2 linked regions of the Tamandua tetradactyla genome follow. The protein of the gene in region 1 interacts with the protein of each later gene in a biochemical or structural test. Links are inferred from orthologs where the notes say so. Each region holds a gene or a part of one and is shown in the gene's direction. Other genes may lie near its edges.

Region 1 (10,315 bases):
GGTTGGGCGTAGCTCATACAAAGGCTCAGAGGTGGGACTTGACTAGCAGCATGGCCAGAACCTCACTTTGACTCTCTCTCCTTCCCATCCAGTGAACAAGCAGCTTGCCGATAAGGAGCGAGTAGCAGCTGCCCTGGAGAACACCCACCTACTGGAGGTTGTGAACCAGTGCCTGTCAGCCCGTTCCTGAACTTGGCTTTTGGCTCCCAGCCCACATACCTCTGTCTGGGCCACAGCTCTACCCAGGGCTCATGGCCTTGTTTTCTGGAATCACTGACAATGGGAAACTTAACATTTTGCATTTTGTAATAAACTCTTAATTTATATTCATTTCCAAGCATGCCTTAGAGTCTTTCATCAAATGGGGTCACTCAGGGCTTGGGAGGGGTATGAGCCTATCCAGAATTCAGTGATGAACAGTTTATTGATATTTTAAATTTCTCCCATTGTTTGGACTAGGAAAAGTTGCAAGTGTACAAAACATCGAAAGGATAGTGAATAGTAGTGATCAGACCTGTATACCCATCACCTATATTCAATGGTTGTTAATATGTTGCAACATTTGCTTTTTTAATGTGTGTATATAAGTAGAATTTGAGAGAGAGCTGTAAAGACATGACCCTTTCCTTCTACGTACTCTGTCCTGCACTCCTATGAGAAAGCCTTTACAACCACAGTACTGTCACCTGGCCAAAATTATGAACAATTCCCCAATACCATCTAATATGTAGTCCAGATACAAATTTCCCTAAAATTTCATACATGGATTTTTTTTTTATCAGACTCCAATAGAAATTCTCATATGACCGTGTTTGGTTGTTAGGCTCTTTAGCCTCTTCAAGAACTGTCTCCTCCTATCCTGTCCCTTACTTTTTTGTGTCTTTCTTGACAGTTACTTTTTTGCAAAGTCCAGTCCAGTTGTCCTAGAAAGTCCTTCAGTCTAATATTTTCCTTGGTCACCTGTGTTTCCTGTAACCTGAAGTTGGTCTAAAGGCCTGAATGAATTTGGGTTTGAGTTTTTTGACAAGAACCCTGTCCAGGAGTGTGTTGTGGGTCCTTCAGCATCCACCAGTATGTGCGTAATGCCACCTTGCTTTGCCATTGGTGATACTCAGTCTGGTCCTCTGGTCAAGGCAGTGACATCTGATTTTTCTGTTAAAAGAAACACGAGGCACCCTCTCCTTCAGTGCCTGGAGATGTGTGTCACGGCAGGTGCTGCGATGAAGGAAGCTCAGCACCACAAGGGTATGTGCTCAGTTCTGGGCCTCTGCCTCCCACTGGCCCTGTGCCCAGGACACAGCTGGTCACCAGGACAGACCATGGGGCTGAGATTTTGTCTCAGCCAGTTAGGCTCTGTGGCCATGATTCCCTGCCTCAGTTTCTCTCTGAAGATAAATGGGAATATTAAGAAGTCTTGCTTTGCTTCACTGCATTTCTGCTGAGGGTCGGATGTGATCGTAGAGGTCTGTCTGTTCTGAGGGCTGGCTGATGACGTCAAGCCTGTCCTGAGAGCGCACACTGGGCTGATACTTTATACTTACTATCTAGTCAGTAGACCCTTGATCCAGCCCTGTGTGGCAGTTGCTTTTTTTTTTATCCCCATTTTGCAAGTGAGGAAATCTGCTTCTGGAATAAGTAATTTAAAGAGGGACCTGAGCAGTTTGGTGGGCGCTGCTCAGCTGGCAGGGGGCGCTGTCACCTTGATGAGAGGGCCTAGGCCCACCCACCTGGACTACTAATGCCACCCAGGAGGGAGGGACTCTGCATCTGGTGGTCCAAGCAAGAGGTGAAGCCACAGTTTCGTTTCTTCATCTGTAATGGCAGTCACCTGGATCTGCTGTGTGGAGATGTGAAATGGAACTGAGCGTATTTCAGGATCTTCTGAGCATCCTGCTCCCATTTTCGCAAAGGAGGAAGGTGAGTGCTCCAAAGAGGAAGGTGCTCAGCTGGGGCTCTGCCAGTCCCATAGAGCCTTCCTGACTACCAGACCCCTCCATGTGTGCCCCACCACGTGTGCACCTCTGTGCTGACAGCTCTGGTCTGTCTGAGGTGGCCGTGGTGGCTGTGTTCAGCTGGGACGATGGTTCATGAGGGAGGCAGGTGTGACTGAGTCACTCAGCTGGCCCTTCTAGCAATCTGATCATGGTGGGCAAGGGACGACAAACTGCTCATGCCACAGCTGGCCTGTCAGTCCTCTTGTTAATATTGACTCATCCGTGCCTGGCCCCTGGCTGCCTGCTGGAACACCATGTGTGCATCCTGGGCCAGCGTCCAGGGAGTTTTCTGGAACTCCAGCCCCTGGTAGAGGGGGATGGTGAGGTTTAAGGCCCCTGAAACACCCTCCACCAGCTGTGCCTGGCTCTGCTCCTTCTGGTCAGTGACCTCTCAGGCTTCAGTTACCATGTCTACGAAATGGGAACAACAAATCAGAACTAAATGGGGTTGACCAAGCAAAAGGTGACAGGTATGAATATGCCCACCCGTGTCTCTTTTTGCTTTTCATCCTGCCTCAGAGGTCTTCAGGGGGGTGGTTGGGAGGGCAGATACTGAAACCCATCCAAGTTCCCCTTTGCAATATTTTGCTACTTGAGGGAGGGAGCAGGATGTGGGATCCCCCAGAGAGGGGGTGAGTAGGGGGATGGGAGATAGGTACCTGCTCTTCTGTACCTCTGTTCTTCTCCTGGGGTCACAGCTGAGGAAAGTGGGAGGGCCTCCACATATTGATTGTCCAACTATGGATAATAATAGTGTTTTTACTGAGATACTCCTTCCTGCCAGGCCTATATCAGTCTCTTTACCTCTGAATGTCATATTATTTATGCTTCATAACAACTCTGTGAAGGTATTATGATCCCTGTTCTACCCAGAAGAAAACTGAGGCTCAGAGAAGATAAATGGGCAGTGGTGAAACAGCTAGCAAGGGACAGAGCTTGGATTTGAAGTCCAGGCTGTCTGACTCCACAGAGATTGGAGAGGTGGGGACCTCTAGGCCACCGATATCTCAAGCTCTTTTCCCCACCTTGGCTTGGGTATGTTTCAGCCTCAGTTTGCTCCTGGGCAGCTAAGCTCAGCCCAGAGAGCTGAAAGAACCAAGCAATGGGAAGAGGGGAATGTCTCAAGGTCATGTCCTGGTCTTGGCCCCTGGGGCCTGTAGCTATACCTAGGCTTGTGGAGGGTGTCTCTGTGGCCTGTTGGGGCAGCCACCTGAATGCCTGGGGCCTGAGTGGCCGCATGTGGTTGCAGTTCCCTTGGCAATGAAGAAACACTGCTGAGGTCACGAGCTCAGATGATAGGAGGGGAAACTCAGCCCAGTTTCCTTGCATGGCTCCCTGCTGGGAAGAGCCATGGCTATGCCCCACACCCACCTCTGCCCGACAATCAGAGGCCCTTTCCAGTAGCCCAGCCAGGTGTGGGGTGAGTGTGAGAGGGTATAAGCACCCTATCTAGGATTACTGATGGGAAGGGGTCTGCTGAATCTTGAGACTTTGTCTTTTCACAGGCCTGGCCCCATGACTCCCTCTTGTCACTGGACTTCATCTAGGAGACTAGAGCTGGGGCTACCCCCAAGATCCTCCAGGACCATGGTGGGGGGGGGGGGGGGACACAAATGGGCAGGCCAGCTCTCAGCCCAGCTCTGGCCTACCTTGGGGACTTCAAAAACAAGAGGAACCCACATGAGCCCCTGAACACTTGCCCAGTCAGGCACTCCTCAATCCAAGGCCTCCTCAGGTGTTGCCAAGGAAACTGATGTACCAGCCAGAGAGCCAGACCCAGGTCTCCACGACAACCTACAACAGCTCACCAGGGTCCATGATGTCACCTGAGCCCTGCGTGGGTGTCCCACACCCCCATCACCCTTTGTCACAATCAAACTACAGAGTCTGAGAGCAGGGTCCTATCGCAAAGCATCTCCCCTGCCTGACCCCAATCTTCACCCACCCAAGATGAGTCATGATGGGTCATGATGCCCAATTTACAGCAGGGCAACCTGAGGCAGGGACAGAAGCAAGATGTAGTAGGCTGGAGGCAGAGCCAGGACATCCTCTCCCCCCTGTGCCCCCGGCCCCTACCCTAGGTCTGAGAGAGGGTGAACTCTGGGCAGCGGTAGCTAAGACCCCCATTCCCCTTGGCCATACTCTGCCATCAGGCCCTTCCTAGGTAGGAGTCTGAATCTCTAGGCTCTGGGATGTGCCCTGAGCAGGAGGCTCAGATGGGCTAGAGGGAAAGAGGAAAGATTTAAAAGTGGCCACAGCCAGCCCTATCCATTTCTGCTGGCATCGATTCCCATCGGCCTGGATTTCCCCAGTTCTGGGCAACCTCCAGGCCAGGAGCAGAATGACCAGGGGCAGAGCCAGAGTCAGGTATTTTTAGTGGAGTTGCTGGCAGCTGCTTGGAGGGTGCTGGGGGGGAGGGTAGTTGCGGACTGAGTTCATCCTTTCCCTTCTCTGGACCCCGTGTCCCCTCCCCAGGATTCAAGCACTTCTACCTATAATACTCTGTCTGCTTCCTTTGTGCTCACCCAGGACTTAAGGGGTGGCACAAACCCTCACTCTGAACGGCAGGCTCATTAGAGAGGACTGCTGCTGAGGCCAGGGGGGTGAGAAGGACTAGTTGGTGTTAAGGTTAGAAGCCCATAGTTAGGATCTGTAAATTCTAGCTTGTGTCTAGGCCAGTGGGGAGTGGGTGTCACAGGATAGAGTAGGGTGAAATCTCTCCAGCCAGAGATTGGGCTACAAACAGGGACTGGGGGGGAGAAGTAGGGTAAATTCACTCGTAAGGAACCAGACCCAATACTTCCCCAGAGGCAAGCTGTGGCACTTGGTTGGTCTGGCAGCCCCACCACCAAGGGGCGCTTCCACCCCTTCCAATCCCCCTCAACTTGATGACAACCCACCCCTACCCCGCGAGGTTCACACACTCCCCATCCCTTCCCCCCTCCTCCCGCCCCTCAGACAGCTGCTCCCTGCCGCCCGGGTATTCCAAGACAGCTTTAACGCAACCCACCTCTGGCGGCCGGGGCGGGGTCTCGGTGGGTCCGGAGGCCTGGGAGGAGCATGGGGATTCCCCTGGGGTGGGGGTGGACACGTCAGCCCGGGTCTGTCCCCGCATCCATGCGGACCAGGGCGGGGGCGGGCGCCTGGGCGGGCGCGGGGGCGGGGGGAGGCTTAAATAGATGGCGCTGGAGCCGCGACCCAGAGCGGGCTGAGAAAGCGGCGGCGGCGGCAGCGGCGAGGGTCGGAGTGACCAAGCCCAAGTCTGCGAGCAAGCTGTGTCCGAGCCCGGGTCCGGGTCCTGACCGCTTCCGTGTGCTAGTGGGTGAGTGTCGTGGCGGAGCGGGGTGGGGTGGCCGCACCGTCTGGGCTGCGGATGGACGGGTAGGGGCGCAGGGACCTTAGGGCTAGGAGGGGACTGTGGCAGGTGCCGGCCACTGAGCATCTTGTCTGATTCGGGATTGCGCAGACGGGTCCCGGGTCGGGTCTCCCACCCCAGCTGCACCGCGGCTCACGCGGCCATCCCTGTCCCCGGTCCCCCAGCTAGTGTCGGACGCGATGACTCTGAATGGCGGCGGCAGTGGAGCGGGCGGGAGCCGCGGCGGAGGCCGAGAGCGCGAGCGCCGTCGGGGCAGCACACCCTGGGGCCCCGCGCCCCCGATGCACCGCCGGAGCATGCCGGTGGACGAGCGCGACCTGCAGGCCGCCCTGGCTCCCGGCGCCCTGACGGCAGTGGCGGCCGGGACCGGGACAGAGGGTCCCAGGCTGGCCTGGCCTGAGGGCTCCTCCGACTCGCTTAGCACCGGGGGCAGCGACTCAGAGGAGAGCGTCTACAAGGTGCTGCTGCTGGGGGCACCTGGCGTGGGCAAGAGCGCCCTGGCGCGCATCTTCGGTGGTGTAGAAGACGGACCTGAGGCAGAGGCCGCAGGTGAAGGGACGGTTAAGCAAGGCAAACCCCAGGGTCAGGGCTGGGAGCACGGGGCAGGCAAAAATGGGCAAATGCTGTGGGATTCTGCCCTACCCACCACTTCACAGCTGCGGAACTAAGAAGGTACTCCCAGCCCTGAATAGGGGAACATCAAGAATTGCTCTGCATGATGGGAGGGGGCACAGGGACAGGACAGCCAGAGGGCGTGCCTAGGAGAGAGCCTTAGGTGGCCAAGACCCCCAGGGCGTGACAGTCGATATTCTAACTCTGGTCACTGTGGTCAGAGTCGCTCCAGGGCCCAGGCAGCAGGTGGGTGGGGAGAACCTGACTGGCAGCTAAGGCCATTGCTAGCTTCGGAGTATCTAGATGGAGGTATCTAGATGAGTGGGGTATCTGGGCCTGGGGTGGCAGCTCAGGCCATTGCTAGCTTGGTGATGGTGGGGGTCTCTCTCTACCCCCATCCCTGTCACTTCTGTCTGCCTGCCCTGGGGACTCTGCAGGACCAGGAAGAACGTGGCAGCCATCTGCAAGTGGGGGCCCTGGGGAGGAGCTGGGGGTGTGGCAGAACAGGGAATCTGGTGCTGGGGGCTTTTGGCAGCCAGCAGGTAACGTACTACCGGTCTCCTGCCTAGGATACACATACGATCGCTCTATCACAGTGGACGGAGAAGAGGCCTCCCTCATAGTCTATGATATTTGGGAGCAGGTAGGATGCAGGCTGAGGCCTAGGGCAGGGGTGGGAGAGGTGGGCTGGGGTAGGGGGCAACATGGAGTGATGGGCTGGTGGCCAGAGCCTGGGGACAGCTGAGCAGACCTGTGCGTGTGTGTGTGTGTGTGTGTGTGTGTGTGTGTGTGTGTGTGTGTGTGTATTCTCCAGGATGGGGACCGCTGGATGCCCGGCCACTTCATGGCCATGGGGGATGCATATATCATCGTATACTCAGTGACGGATAAAGGCAGCTTTGAAAAGGCCTCAGAGCTGCGGGTCCAGTTGCGGCGGGCACGGCAGGCAGACGACGTGCCCATCATCCTTGTGGGCAACAAGAGTGACCTGGTGCGCTCTCGTGAGGTCTCCGTGGATGGTGAGCAGGGAGTAGGGCATGGGTTGGAAGGTTAAAGAAAGGAGATCCCAACTGGGTTGTGGTCCTTCCAGCTTTGGCTCAGGCCGAGTCTCTGGGGATCATCAGCGGCTAAAAATGTTCAGAAAGAAAGCTCAGAGTGGGGGTGAGGGAGCTGCTGCCTGAGAGGCCTGGGGAAAGGACCAATTGCAATAGGGGAGCAGGCTGCTGGGTGCTGAGCTAGGGCACTTCAGAGCCCTCCTCTCCTGTATCTTTTGGTCCTTTGCCTAACAGGTGAGGGGACCAGGTCAGGAATGCAGAGATTGGGATTACAGCCTGGACATGTCTTGGGGTTTGCTTATCCCTGGGGATAGCCCTTGCCTCTCGGGCTCAGCGTCCTCCTCATGTGCCCTAGAACCCAGCCCACTCAGAGGAACCCAGCAGTGACATGGTGACATTGCCCCCATTGCACTGGGTCATAATGTCAAATCGTAAAACGAGCACCAAGCAGTCCAACGAAGTTCTTATTTTCCTGTGTTGACTGCTGTAGCACTTCTGTTTAAAAACCAGACATCAAATTATTTTGAGCAGTGAATCTCCTTTTGCGGGCTCCTGGGCTCCCTAAACACAGGCCCTTCACCTGCTGAGTGACACAGCTGTGCTCAGGAGCCCCACCACAGGAGCTGGGTGTCTCCGTGTTCCTGGGGAGGACCCTGGGGTTCCCCTTTCCCTGGCCCACAGATCCCTGAGTGACAGCAGCTGTGGGTGGCTGGGGGTCAAGCAGTCCCTCACCCACACACCCTTTGTTCACCCGCGCTTGCCTGTCCTCCCCCCACCCACGCTAGAGGGCCGTGCCTGCGCTGTGGTCTTTGACTGCAAATTCATTGAGACATCGGCGGCGCTGCACCACAACGTCCAGGCGCTGTTCGAGGGCATCGTGCGCCAGATCCGCCTGCGCAGGGACAGCAAAGAGACGAATGCCCGGCGGCAGGCCGGCACCCGGCGGCGGGAGAGCCTCGGCAAGAAGGCCAAGCGCTTCCTGGGCCGCATCGTGGCCCGCAACAGCCGCAAGATGGCCTTTCGCGCCAAGTCCAAATCCTGCCATGACCTCTCGGTCCTCTAGGCCCCACAGGCACTCCCTGCAGGGGGCAGACAGATGGGCGGGTCGGTGGGCCGGCCCAGCCAACCGCCCTCGGTGCCTCGGCCCGACCAGCCTCTGGACCCTTTGGAGTTGCCAGCACTCCCACCTCACGGACGTGGACAGACAGACAGTGCTGTCCAGGGAAGCGGTGTCCAGTGGCCACGGAGGGCCAGGCCCCGCAGAGATGTGCATGCAGGCCCATGCGCATCCCAAGGCAGAAGCCAGAGCCCAGCCCAAGGGCCAGGCCTGTGCTTGGGGAGAAGACCTGACCTCCCACCTCCCTCCACACCCTGGAGGGAGGGAGGCTGTTCAGCGTGGTGGCTATTTGTTTACATGCAGGTTTTTGTAATAAAGATTATTTCTTGATAGGTCAGTGTTGTTGACTACTTGTTTCTTCTTATCTGGTGGCAGCAGGAGCAGGAAAGCTCCCGAAGTTGAGGGACGGGGACTTGCCGAGTCACCCCAGTGTGTGGCTTTGACTGTCCTAAGGGTTAGGCCAGGCTTAGGCAGCTGGGGAAGAGGGAGCAGATGTGGGGCCCGGCCTGCTGGGGGTTGATGCATCAGGAGGAGATACAAACTCTTCTCAGCCCCTATTATCTGGATCTTCCCCTGGCATGGCTCAGATGATCCAGTTCAAGTCACCCCACTGCATCTAAGGGAAACTGAGTCTGCATGAGCGGTTATGCCCTGTCTCAGATTTTACAGCCAGATAAGAACCCTGGTTTTGACTCCAGACTGTTGTCTCTGTGCTGCGCCATCCTGAGGGTCTGTGGAAGATTCCAGAGACTCCCCAGCTAGGAAAGGAGACCAGCTGCTTTTCCCAGGGTGGGGATGAGGGAGGCGCACTCAGGCAGACTTGATTCTGAAGCCCCCCACCCTTTCTACCTGGCTGGGACTGGGCTTCTGAAGGGGCCCTCGCTGTTCTTTTCCAAAATACCTCATGCTCAACATTGGCTAATTTGGTTCTGGCGGGAGCAGCTCCCTGGAGTCTGCCTGGCCTGGAATAAGAGACTTTGCATTTGTGTAAGAATACATGCACGTGCATAACTGGAGCATGCCTACTCCCCCATTCCCACCCCACCACCCCTGTCCCGCCATCCCCCCCACCCTCATCCCAGGCCCGGCCCCCCTCCCCAGCCCTTCTTGGCAAAGGGTGCCTATTAAGAGTTACTTACACAGTTTCAAGAACAAGCAAGACTATTGGGCAATGGCAGTTGGGGAACTGAAGTCTAAGGTCACATGGGCAGGAAATGACTGAGGGGGTGCTGCTGTCCAGATCGGCCCATTTCCAAAGCCTGGAGGCAGCTCTGGATGAGGTGCGGACTGCATTTGAGAAGGTGCTGGGCCAGGGTCCTCACGTCCTTTCAATAGTGGAACTTATTCACAAACCTCTGCGAGTGCCCACAACCTGGGCAGAACCCTGAGTGCAACTGAGATGGGAGGGGGCAGGAGGGCGGCCCCTCAGTGTGTGCAAGTGGGGTCCCTCTGAGACTAACCGCCTCCCACCCCCACCGAGGGCATTGTTTAATGTTTCAAAGCTGTTGCTGCTCCCTGGGAACAATCCGCACCCCAGCACACCCTGGGGCATGTGGAGGGCGTGGTTTTCTCCCAGGAGGTGATAATCTGAGTCCTCAAGATGAACCCAGGGCTTCCTGGCTCTGCCATTTTTACTGCTGTGTGTCTCTGGGCATACTTATCCTCTCTGCACCCCAGCATGCGACATAGGGGTGATGACCCCTTCAGATGATGGGAGCAGGTGGAGTAATGAGTTATGTGCTCAGAGCAGTGCCTGCTGCATAGTAGGAGCTCATCACGTGAGATTCCTCAGCATCCCCACCCCCACCATTCCTGGCTGGGCTGCCTGAGTGACTCTGAGGCAGGCATTCAGCCTGTGGTAGACAAAGCTGGGAGCAGCTAAGGGCCCAGGCCAGATTCCCGCCTGAGAGAGATTAGCCAGATACGCAGTTGGAAGGACTCAGGAAGACCACAGAAAGCTCAGAGGATAGGGACAGACAGGAGGCCCTTCTTACCCTTGTCCCTCCCCTCTGGCTTCTCCTGGCTCCACTTGGCTGTCCCCACTGGGGGGAAGGGCCCCTGGTCAGCCCTGAAACTCCCTCAAGGTCACCTGGACTGGCTCAAACTTCTCTTTCCTTCTTAGAGGCATGATCACCAGTCCTGTTGGCGACCAGGAGTGCGG
Region 2 (10,073 bases), on another chromosome or scaffold:
GAGAGAGTAGTTATAACAAATTGCATTTGTTGACCTATTACTACATGCAAGACGCTATTTTACCTTTCATTATGTACCATCAATAATTTGCTGTTCATAAAATCCTATGACACTGGTTCTATTATTATTCCCATTTTGCAGATGAGAAAACAGAGGTGCAGAGAGGTTACTAAACTTGTCAGTGAGAGGTAGAGCCGGGAACTATCACGTTATACTGCCTCTCCCTTTTATTAATTTGAATTTGAGTCAGGTTGAATTTGGGAAGACAGCAGGACATTCAAACCCAAATGTCTGGGCAATGATCATCTGTAGCCCAGATCTGGGACTTAGGAAATTCTGGGCCTACCCTGGAGTCCAGAAAGTTTGACACAGATCCTTCTTAAGGCTTTTCCCTGAGTGGCCTGTAAGACTGCCCCCAGCCACACATTATTTACATCGTGCTAGTTTCCAGTCCCCAACTTTATGATGTTTCTTCTCGCGCTATCCTCTCTACTCCAGCTGACTCGAATTCCATTTACCCAAACACGTGCCAAGCGCTCAGGATCTCAGGGCCTGATCCACACGATCTCCTCCACTAGCAATATTGCCTCACCTCCACCTCCATTTGCCAACATCCTTTTCCTCCTTTCATCTCTTTCATTAGGTCTTTTCTCATTTTCTTTAGCTGATTTGATTGCTTCCCTTTTAAAAGCCTCACTGTACTTTGCTCTACCTTCTATGCTTTTACTGAGCACCGACTATGCACCAGATACTCTTTAGACCCTGGGAGTATCAGGGTGAACACAAATGCTCCCAGACCCTGTCTCATGGGGTCCATAGTGCTCCAAACACATGTAAAATCGCATTTGGGATGAGTGCTTTGAAGAAAGGGTGGTGGTACTACCGAGCTGTCATTACAGGGATTTGATCTAGTCAAGAGGCTAAGGAAGGCTATTGGGAGAGATTGATGCTTGAGGAGAGACCTGGCAGGAAGGCAAACAGGGGAGGGAAGCGCAGGAGAGGCAACCATTTGTACAAAGATCTAGGGGCTGACTCTACTATACGAATATTTAGGCTTGTATCATCGTTTTTGGTTGTGCTTGTCTTCTTGCCCCCAGTGAATAAAGCTCTAAAGCTTCTTTAAGGCAGGACCTATTTCTGGCCCATCTTTCCCCTATAGTATTTAGGCCTGAAGCTTGCCCAGGGTGGGGAGGTACTTGTCTAAATGGCCTGGGTGTGGAGGCAACCTGCCCTTGTGGACTCCCAGTCACAGCAGGAGCTTTAGGGTAGTTGCACAGGGCAGGATGTTTTAGGGGTCAGGGCCTCCAGGTCCTCTCTCCTACTGCCTCCCCCTTGCCCACCCTGCTTTGCCCACACCAGCCTTCATTGTGCACCCTTGAATACGGGAGACCGCGTCCCTCTCAGGCCTCTGCACAGCTGATACTTCTCCCAGCAATGTTTTTGCCCCAGAGCTTCGAATCATCATTGAGGTCTCCCTGGAAAGCAGCTATGTCTGAGCACCTCAGTTAAAGAAATTCTCCACCCCACCTACCCCAGTCACTCTCAATCCATTTTTTTTTTACACCATAAAGCTTACTCCAGTCTAAAAATTAACTGTGTCCGTTGACTGCCTGCAGGAGTATAAGCTTCATGGGGACAGGATATTTTTCTGATTGTTCTCTTCTGCTTCCCAGGTGAGTGGGCTATAGGAAGTGCTCTGTAGAATGAATGGATGGATATGGATGTCCTCTCTGAGTAAGTTCCCAGATTCAGGGCTGCAACTAGAGGTGGGATAGGTCCATGTCGGGTTTAAGATTCCAATGAGCACATATGAACTGTCCCCCTATGTCATGTACAAGACCCCCCTCCCCATATCTCTTTCTATCCTCTTCCCTTCCTTCGCATTGTCCCTGTCCTACCACTTACTAGCTATTTGTCCTGGGCAAGTAACTTCACCTTTCTAAACTTCAGCCTCCTCCTCTGTAAAAGGCCTGATAGCGCTGCACTCATAGGGTGGTGGTGAGGGTTAAAAGGGATCACTTATGCTTACCGCTTGGGTGGCCTCGCCTCACAAGGAATGCTCCAGGAGAATGCGCTCCTGGAGCATTCTCTCCTGTTGTAGTTTCCCCACGCTCGCTCGCAGCTCCCTGCGCGCCTCCCAACTGCCCACCAGAGGGCGCGCCACACCGCTCTTCCCGGCGGCGACCGCCGGCTCCTGCCCGCAGTGCAGGTGGTCGGGAGCTTACCTCAGCATGGCCCTCTTGCCTCCGGGGACCGCTCTGTCGCCCCCTCACCAGTGCTACATCTTCGCCACAAATATTTCAGCCCATTACCCCCAATACTTCATTCCACAGATATTTATTGAGCGTTTCCTGTATGCCAGGCAGCGTGCTGAGGGTCGGAGATAAGAATGATCAGATACTCCCTACCTACGAGCTGCTCCCAGTGTATGGCCAGAAAGGAGGGGTCGAGAGGCAAAGAGAGCCCAGCCCTGGACTTGGGGGCGGGAAGACAGCGACGGGGGTGCCCTCCAGAACCTTCCCTCTGGCTGGACAAATGGGGTCCCTCCCTGCCAGCCCCTCTGCCCCTCACTCTTAATACCCGCTAGTGGCATTACACGCGCCTACAGCGCACCGGGAATTCCCACCTCACCTCTTCATTCCCAACACCTCGGACCTCACTCCTCAGCGTTTCACACCAAATGCTACAGCATTTGTCCAACCTCCTCTCTGATTTCAAGTGCCTCACCGCTGATTGAAATCTCAGCATCTCAGAGGGAGGCCTTGCCCTCCCCCCGCTTCCCCTCCCCCACTCCCCCTCCAGTCAGGGGGTTGGAGGGGACCCCAGAAGCTACCGGCGGAGTGGGTTTCAAACTCCTTTTGGGCCAGGGGCTCTTTTCTCCAGCAACATCTAATGTAGAACCCCAACATACGTTTTGGGTAGATGCTGAGACATGACTGTAGTTTCTAGGGTTCTGTGGAATAGCAACTGAAAACCCCCGGAGGATACTCAAGACTGAATTCCCTTGGGGATTTATTTTACAGCATCCCCCAACGAGTGGGCATCTCTTGTCGCCTTCCCAGGACTTCAGCCCCCCTGCCATGAAACCTGCCTCATTTCTTCCAGTCTGAAGAGTAAGTATGCTTCTCCCCTAAAAATTACATTCCGAAATTAGGGAGGGAAGCTTCTGTCGTTGGTGGGGCTCGGGTATAACGTCCAGAGCCTTCAAGAAGGATCTACAGAATAAGGAGGGTCCCACCCAGCGGGGCCCTTGGGGGATTATCAGGGCATCAATTTCCTGTTTAATTCTCTGTTCCCCGCGCTGTGGGCACGGCCTGAGCGCTAGCGCTGCCCAGGGGACCGGCTGCAACCGGAACAGCGCAGCCGGCGGACCCCAGGAGGTTGCCATAGATACTGATACGCAGGGAGCTGATGAGCCGTCATTATTTATGTGTATCTTCCTTCTAATTGCTGTGGGGTAGCCGTAGGTTGTGTGGGTGCTTCAGCAGCGGGGATCAGGAGGGTGTATGTGAGTGTGTGTTTGTGTGTACACACAGAGCAGTCTATGGGCTGCTCCAAAACGTCTGAGCTGTCGGGAGAAGTAGTGAGGGAGGGAGGGAGAAGTGAGACAGAAGAGGGACAAGGAGAGAATGGATTGCGTTTCTCATTTCGTGGATTCTAACTGTCCACCCTATTTGGATGATTCGCAAAATAAGAGGCAGTGCCAAGCACATAGTAGGCAACTGATTAAATACTCAAGGAAAGGCAGCTCGCTCCACCTACAGTCTCGGGAGTCATGTCCAAGGCATCACCCCAATGTCTTTCTCATCGCTCTTCCCTTTACCCATACACTCAATGCAAAATGGTTGCCCTGCAATACTCAGCATGGAATCCTTATCCCCAAGTGAGGAGGCGATGTCCCCACTCATGGCAGTCAGGGTCATGGTCTTAGCTCTGCCTTACATTTTCCCTTGGGAAACACTCAGGGGACCCCACGGCAGCCCTAATCTGTGCTTGTTCTGACCTCATCCGATTCCTCACATTCATGAATATAAAGTTTCAAGGACCAGCTCCAGTTGGCCGGTTACCTTGAGCTCTGGCTAAGGGCACACTGAGGATGAACTGGTGTGCAGCCCCCAGAGTTGTGTTCCTGATGTTGACCCACAGTTGGAGACTGCTGCCTCCACTTCTGGAGTCCAGGCCAACTAGCTGTCCCTTCTGCTTTTAAGGTGGATGACAGAAACTCAAGAATTACCCTCATCCATATATATATACATATACCCAGATTGCTCTTTCCCACACCTGGACTTGGGACCGACCTGGCTCTCACCCTGGTGCTTCAAGATAGGAAGTGGCCTTGCTCCCCACTGCTCTGCTTCCTTTTGCCCTGGGGAGGGGTGGGGCCTGGTGCTCTGTCACCCCTACCCTTTCTCTTGGCCCTCCCTGCCCTCCTCCCAGGAAATCTCTTCATGCTTTTCCTCTCAGGCTCCATTCCCTTCTATTCCCTGATTGCCCCCACCTGGCAGTCTGGTCGCCAACCAATTCCCAGGGCTGCTGGGTAAGGAAAGGAGAGGAGCCCTCTCTGGGAGTTTTGCCCCACCCACCCCCCTTGGGGAGGCAGGAAGGCTTGGGATGCCTCTCAGACTCTCAGCTACCTCCTCTGGCAGAGCAGAGCTGCTGACAATGGAGGCCCAACTCCCGGTGGGCATCCTGCTGTAATCAAGACTGAGCTGCAGCAGTTGGCATGAACTCCTGCCTGCCAAATTAGGGCTGGCCCCCAAATCGGGGTACAGCTGCAGGGGCAGGCTGGGAATCCACCCAGCCCGTTTCTCCTCCACCAAGACAGTTTTGTGCCTCTGTCACACCACCCTCTGAGGACAAAGGAAGGGGTGGCAACTCCCTCTGCAGGTGCCCTGAGGAGCCCTTTCATTCCACAAATATTTATTGAGGGTCTGGGGCTGATTATACAATGATGAACAAAGCAGGCAGAGGCCCTGCCTTATCTGAGCCTACAATTTAGTGAGAAGGCAAATATTAAACAAATAATAATAGCTAAGACTCACATAGTTTTGATTAGGTACCAGGTCCTATTCTAAGTGTTTTACCTGATTCAATGCATTTAATGCTTACAAACCTAAGAGACTGATAATCGAGGCACAGAAAGATTAAATGACTTGCCCAAGGTCGCACAGCTGGTCAGTGAATTGCCCAGAACTCTAAGCCAGGCAGTCTGACTCCAGAGTTCACTCTTTGAACAACTGTACTCTAGTTCTCCTGCTTCTCATACCTATAAATGTTACCATTACAAAAAGTGATAGTGCCATAAGGTAAAAGAATGAGGTGTTCTGCAAGAAAATGGTAATGTTTTCTCCTTTGCACTTGCTGTTTTATCTCCATGCACAAATCCTTTTCTATTCTTTTCCACTTCATCCCTTTCACTATTAGTTTGAAAGAGATCCTTCTCTCATCTCTAAGGCACAGTTTCACCTGCAACCTTGCACTCCCTCTTCCCTTGGTGTCCCTGATCAAACTGTGCCTGAAGGGTTTCTACTAATAATGGCCCTGATGCTTGCTCAAGTCTAGACGGTCAGCTGCCTGAGGGTAGGCTGCTGGGAGATAGCTCTGCACTGGCTGGGGGGCGTCCCCCGAGTATGCAGGCTGACAGAGGCTCTTTGACCTTGGCCCCCTCTGCACATCATGTGAGCCGGGCTGGGGTTTTAGGATTTCGTGTGTGGGGTCCCTCAAGAAGCTCGGTAGTCCAGCCCCCCTACACACACACCCTCGCGCGCACATTCCCAAGCCCATGCAGGGTCCGCCCGGGAATGAGTCCATAGGGCGCAAACCTTTTAGCTCCCTACGCCTTGGGCGGCCTGGGGCTGAGCCTCCCCCTCCCGGCGGCTCCAGTGCACGCCCGGCTCTGCCAGGGCGGCACCCGGGGCGGGGCGGGGCCGGCAGCGGGAGGCCCCACCCCGGGGGCGGTCCGGGGGCCGGGCGGGGGGCCGGCGGGGCTGGGGGCGGGGCGGGCAGGCGGGCGGGCGCGGGGGTGTCCCTCCCTCCCTCGCTCTCCCCGGTAAAGTCTCGCGGTGCTGCCGGGCTCAGCCCCGTCTCCTCCTCTTGCTCCCTCGGCCGGGCGGCGGTGACTGTGCACCGACGTCGGCGCGGGCTGCACTGCCGCGTCCGCCCGCCCGCCAGCATGGCCACCACCGCCACCTGCACCCGCTTCACCGACGACTACCAGCTCTTCGAGGAGCTCGGCAAGTACGGCCCGCCCGCAGCGCGCCGCGGCCCCCGAACCTGCCCCGGTCGCCGGGGCACTATGCGGGCTTCTCGCCCCGCCCCCCCGGCCCTGCACCGGCCGCTGCGGCGCCCCCTCGGCCTGCCCCACCCCCCGCCTTTCCCGCCCGCCGCCTCCAGGGCGCCCTCACCCCCAGGCCCCTGCCCAGCAGCCCCCTCCGCGCCCTGCAGCAGCTGCCGGGACTGCTGCACCCCACGCTGCCTCGGGGACTGCAGCCCCCGGACCGCTCCTGGGCGCCCTCCAGCCCCGCCCCTCCCGCACCCTTTAGGCGCTCCCCCTCCCGGACCCGGCCTGCTTGTCGTCCCCTCCCGACCCTGCTCAAGAGCTCACTCTACCCTGTCCCCATGTCCCACGCGCCTGGCACTCAAGACCCTCCCCAGCCCTGCAGCTCCAACCCCGCTGCGGTGCCAGGGTGTGTGTGGGGGGAGGATGTTTGGTGCCCGGCCCCGCCCCCCGCCAGTGCTGCTTCCAGGATCCCAACCCCGCTGCTGGACAGTGCTGCAGCACCCCCGTCCCCTCCCCCCATCCCTGCAGTGGTCCCGGGAGCCGCGCGCCGCAGCCGCAGCATCCCCCTCCCCTCTGCACTGAGCTGGCCGCTGCAGCAGCCCGGGCCCCCCCACCCCCACCCGCGGCGCCGAGCCCGGCCACTGCAGCCCCCGCCCCGCCCGCCCCCCTAGACGCTTCCAGAGCTGGAGAGTGCCCGTTCCCATTGGGGGGGGGGGGGCGAGGGCGTAGAGCAAAATATGGGGATGGGGAGTTGTTGACGTCTGCGACCAATATCATTTCCTCTTTCCCTGCTGTCAGTTGAGCCGGGATGCAGTTGGATGAAGCCCGCCGTGCGGGGTTCGAGTCTCACTTTCCTCACCTTCCCCATGGATGGGGGAGATTTCCCTCTCTGGGGATTGTACCCTCTTATCTCTCCTTCCCCTGCCCTCAACTATTGCTGCCGGGAGAAGGACAGGGGCCTCTGTGTTCCCTCCTCTCTCCTGGGTTTCTTGGTCGGGATTGCAGGGCTATCAGTGAGATGCAGCAGGTGTGTGTTTAAGCATCGCCCACCAGTTCCCGCCGTGCAGCTTGCACTGGGACTGCTGCTCTGGCCCAGACTGGATGAGAAGGTGGGAGTGGGCTGGCAGGCTACCCCACATTTGTTCAGTGTCGTGAGTGACCACATTCTCCTGCCATATGTTGGACAGTGGTGGTCATGACGCAGGTGTGTGTGTGGGGGGTGGGGGGGATGGATGGGTGTGTAATTTTGGCTAAAGGTTTGAGGAAGGGAATATCACTGTCCTTTGACTTGAAATGTGTCTGTGTCACTTTGCCCTGCTCTGTGTCCCAGTTCTTTCCCCTTCTCCCTCCAGGGGTGCTTTCTCTGTGGTCCGCAGGTGTGTGAAGAAAACCTCCACGCAAGAGTATGCAGCAAAAATCATCAATACCAAGAAGTTGTCTGCCCGGGGTGAGTGGCCCCAACTCGACCTCTCCCTGGGGGGATGTCCCCTAGGTTCTTGGCTTTTTTCTGAAGATGCTGCTGGGGTTAGGGGTTCTGTGTTTTAGGTCTTGGAGAAGAGTTGGAATTCAGGGTGGGTGGACTTTGAAGCCAGGGGAAGAGTGGCTTTGGGAGCTGGAAGTGCTCAGACAGAATAAGGAGCATGTAAAAGATGTAGGTGGCCTCAGGGAGGAGTGGTCCCTGAAGGCTCGAGGGAGTTTGATCCTTGGGAAGGTGGGGGATATGGAGAGTGGTGGGGTACACAGAATAGAGAGCTCTTAATTTGGGGCACTTGGAGCCTCCCTCTTTGGGGGCAGTGGTAACCACTCCAGGCCCATTCTAATTGCTATGTCCCAGTGGTGACTTAGGATGGTAATGCAGTAAATGAGCAGCTCTGACAAACCCAGCCTCCCCCTACCCACCAGGCGGCAGAACAGACTCCCAAGGGAAGGCAATCTGTAAACATCAGGGCAGGCTGTTACTGACGAGGGCTCCTCGGGAACAAATCCTGCCAGATGAACTTGATTGTTTTTTTGATCAAATTACAAAGTTAGCGGTGCAGCAGCAGATGCAGTCTGTCCTGGGTGGAGGGTGATGCCTCCTGGCCTGGAACCCCCCCTCCGCCCCCCCATGGCTTGGTCTGGGCGAGAGCAGCACTGCCTCAGGGTTCAAGGATGGAGGAAGGCCTGGCCTTGGAGCCTGATTGTGGGATCCTTCCAAGGACCTGAGGCCAGGAGGGTTGGGTCCTGGCTTTCACACCTAGAAGGTACACTCCCTGAACCACATATTGGGTGCTTGCCAAAGTCACCTCATCTGATAGGTGTAGACGCAGCCATGAGCAAAGTGCTCTGTGAGCAAGTCTGGCGAGAAGAAAGTATGTAATGGGTTGAGTCAAGGGCTGCAGGGTGCAGCTGGGGGACAAATGTTATGGGATTCAGAGAAAGAAATTAGGGCTGGGCAATAGGGCACCATAAATCATCAGGAGTCAGGATAAGTGCCCTGAAGAAGACATGGCTGTTGTCTGTATTGAGATGGGAATCTCTGGCATAGGAGATGTAGTCAGATGCCTCCGAGCACTCAGAGACACCATCAGATTCCACAGAGCTGACAGTGGGCTTCAGTCTTGTTGATGGCTGTCCTGGGACCTGTTCAGCAGGCTGCATCTGCCACTTGGCTGGAAGGGTCTTTCCCTGTTCCCCTGAGCAGGGCTTGCCTTCCTGTCTCCCACCCAGTCCCCGTCACTTGCTGTTCATGTACATTGGCTATGAAGTTGACTTGTTTGTTTTCTTTTTCTCTGGGTACCTTGAGGCTGGGGCAGTGGTTGCCATAGAGATATGTGGGTGGTCAGATGCTCTCCTCCCCTCGAGTAGATGGGAGCCAGTGTAGGCTGGGTTCAGTGGCAGATGTTCTCTGGCCATGGTGAACGGTGCAGGCAGGCATGGTGGTTGGAGAATGGTTACCTCCCCAGGCCTGTATGGCAGAGTCCTGGGGCATCAGAGATGGGGCCAGTGTCAGTGAGGCAATGCTTTGCTATCCTCATCTCACCTGTCTTCTGACCTAGGGTTGAGGGAAGGAGAGACAGCTGGGAGCTAAATTCTAGGATGTGATGATAGCCTGGTTTGGGTTTTCACTTTTCTACTCCTTTCCTGTCCACCCGAATGTCCCTTTCCCTCCCTTACCCTTTTCCTACCTTTTGCCGTATAGTAATCTTTCTTTCCCTGCCCAAATTGGACTAGGATTGATTTCTCTTTGATTTTGTTCCTAAAGAAGAAGATTCTTGCATAGGATCATATGCTCCAGACAGTTACTCCCCCTCTCTTGAGATGGTTATACCCAAGACTAGAGCTCCTTTTTGTTGCTTTTGTGCCATATTACTTTGGGACAGAGGCCCGGTCCTGGCTGATAGGCACATATGCTAGGAAGAGGGGTCAGGAATCTGTAAGTTCCAGTAATGTTTGGAGGTGGCAGAGTGGGAGGGCATTGTCATGGAGATAGAGGGAGCAATGGGGGCTGTGCTGTAGGTATGAGCAAGGGGGTGGTGTGAGCTCCTGGAGAGGGTTGGGCCAGGGTGCCCACGGGCTGGTGCCCATGGGGTTAGGAAGCGCAGGCCGTGGCTTCCCTGCAGCCTCTCAGTTTACGCTGTATATTTTATAAAGGTGCAGCAGCTGGGGCTGGGTTTCACTGGTCGCTGTCTGTCTGTCTAGGGCTCCGCAGGTGTTGGATTTCTGTGTCTGGGAATCTGGAGGGCCCACCAGGGTCATCGATGAGGTTCTGAAGGGGCTTATTGTGTTGGCTGAGTCTCCTGCCTGTTTTCTT

The links.
Region 2: of the proteins of RRAD (region 1) and CAMK2G, one has a biochemical effect on the other in vitro, tested with the Homo sapiens proteins (2 studies listed by BioGRID, with this or other methods). The link is inferred for Tamandua tetradactyla from reciprocal best matches to the Homo sapiens genes RRAD and CAMK2G.

What each region holds. Positions count from the first base shown.
Region 1 is NC_135342.1:60,614,372-60,624,686, reverse strand, and holds RRAD (GTP-binding protein RAD), read left to right. Parts: upstream 1-5,204; 5' UTR 5,205-5,316; intron 5,317-5,373; exon of another isoform or gene 5,374-5,534; 5' UTR 5,535-5,549; coding exon 5,550-5,919; intron 5,920-6,551; coding exon 6,552-6,625; intron 6,626-6,796; coding exon 6,797-7,001; intron 7,002-7,822; coding exon 7,823-8,100; 3' UTR 8,101-9,153; downstream 9,154-10,315. Other genes in the region: CIAO2B (cytosolic iron-sulfur assembly component 2B), read left to right, coding at 93-190. UniProt on the Homo sapiens protein: May regulate basal voltage-dependent L-type Ca(2+) currents and be required for beta-adrenergic augmentation of Ca(2+) influx in cardiomyocytes, thereby regulating increases in heart rate and contractile force.
Region 2 is NC_135339.1:22,773,841-22,783,913, forward strand, and holds the start of CAMK2G (calcium/calmodulin-dependent protein kinase type II subunit gamma), read left to right. Parts: upstream 1-6,090; 5' UTR 6,091-6,172; coding exon 6,173-6,237; intron 6,238-7,632; coding exon 7,633-7,727; intron 7,728-10,073.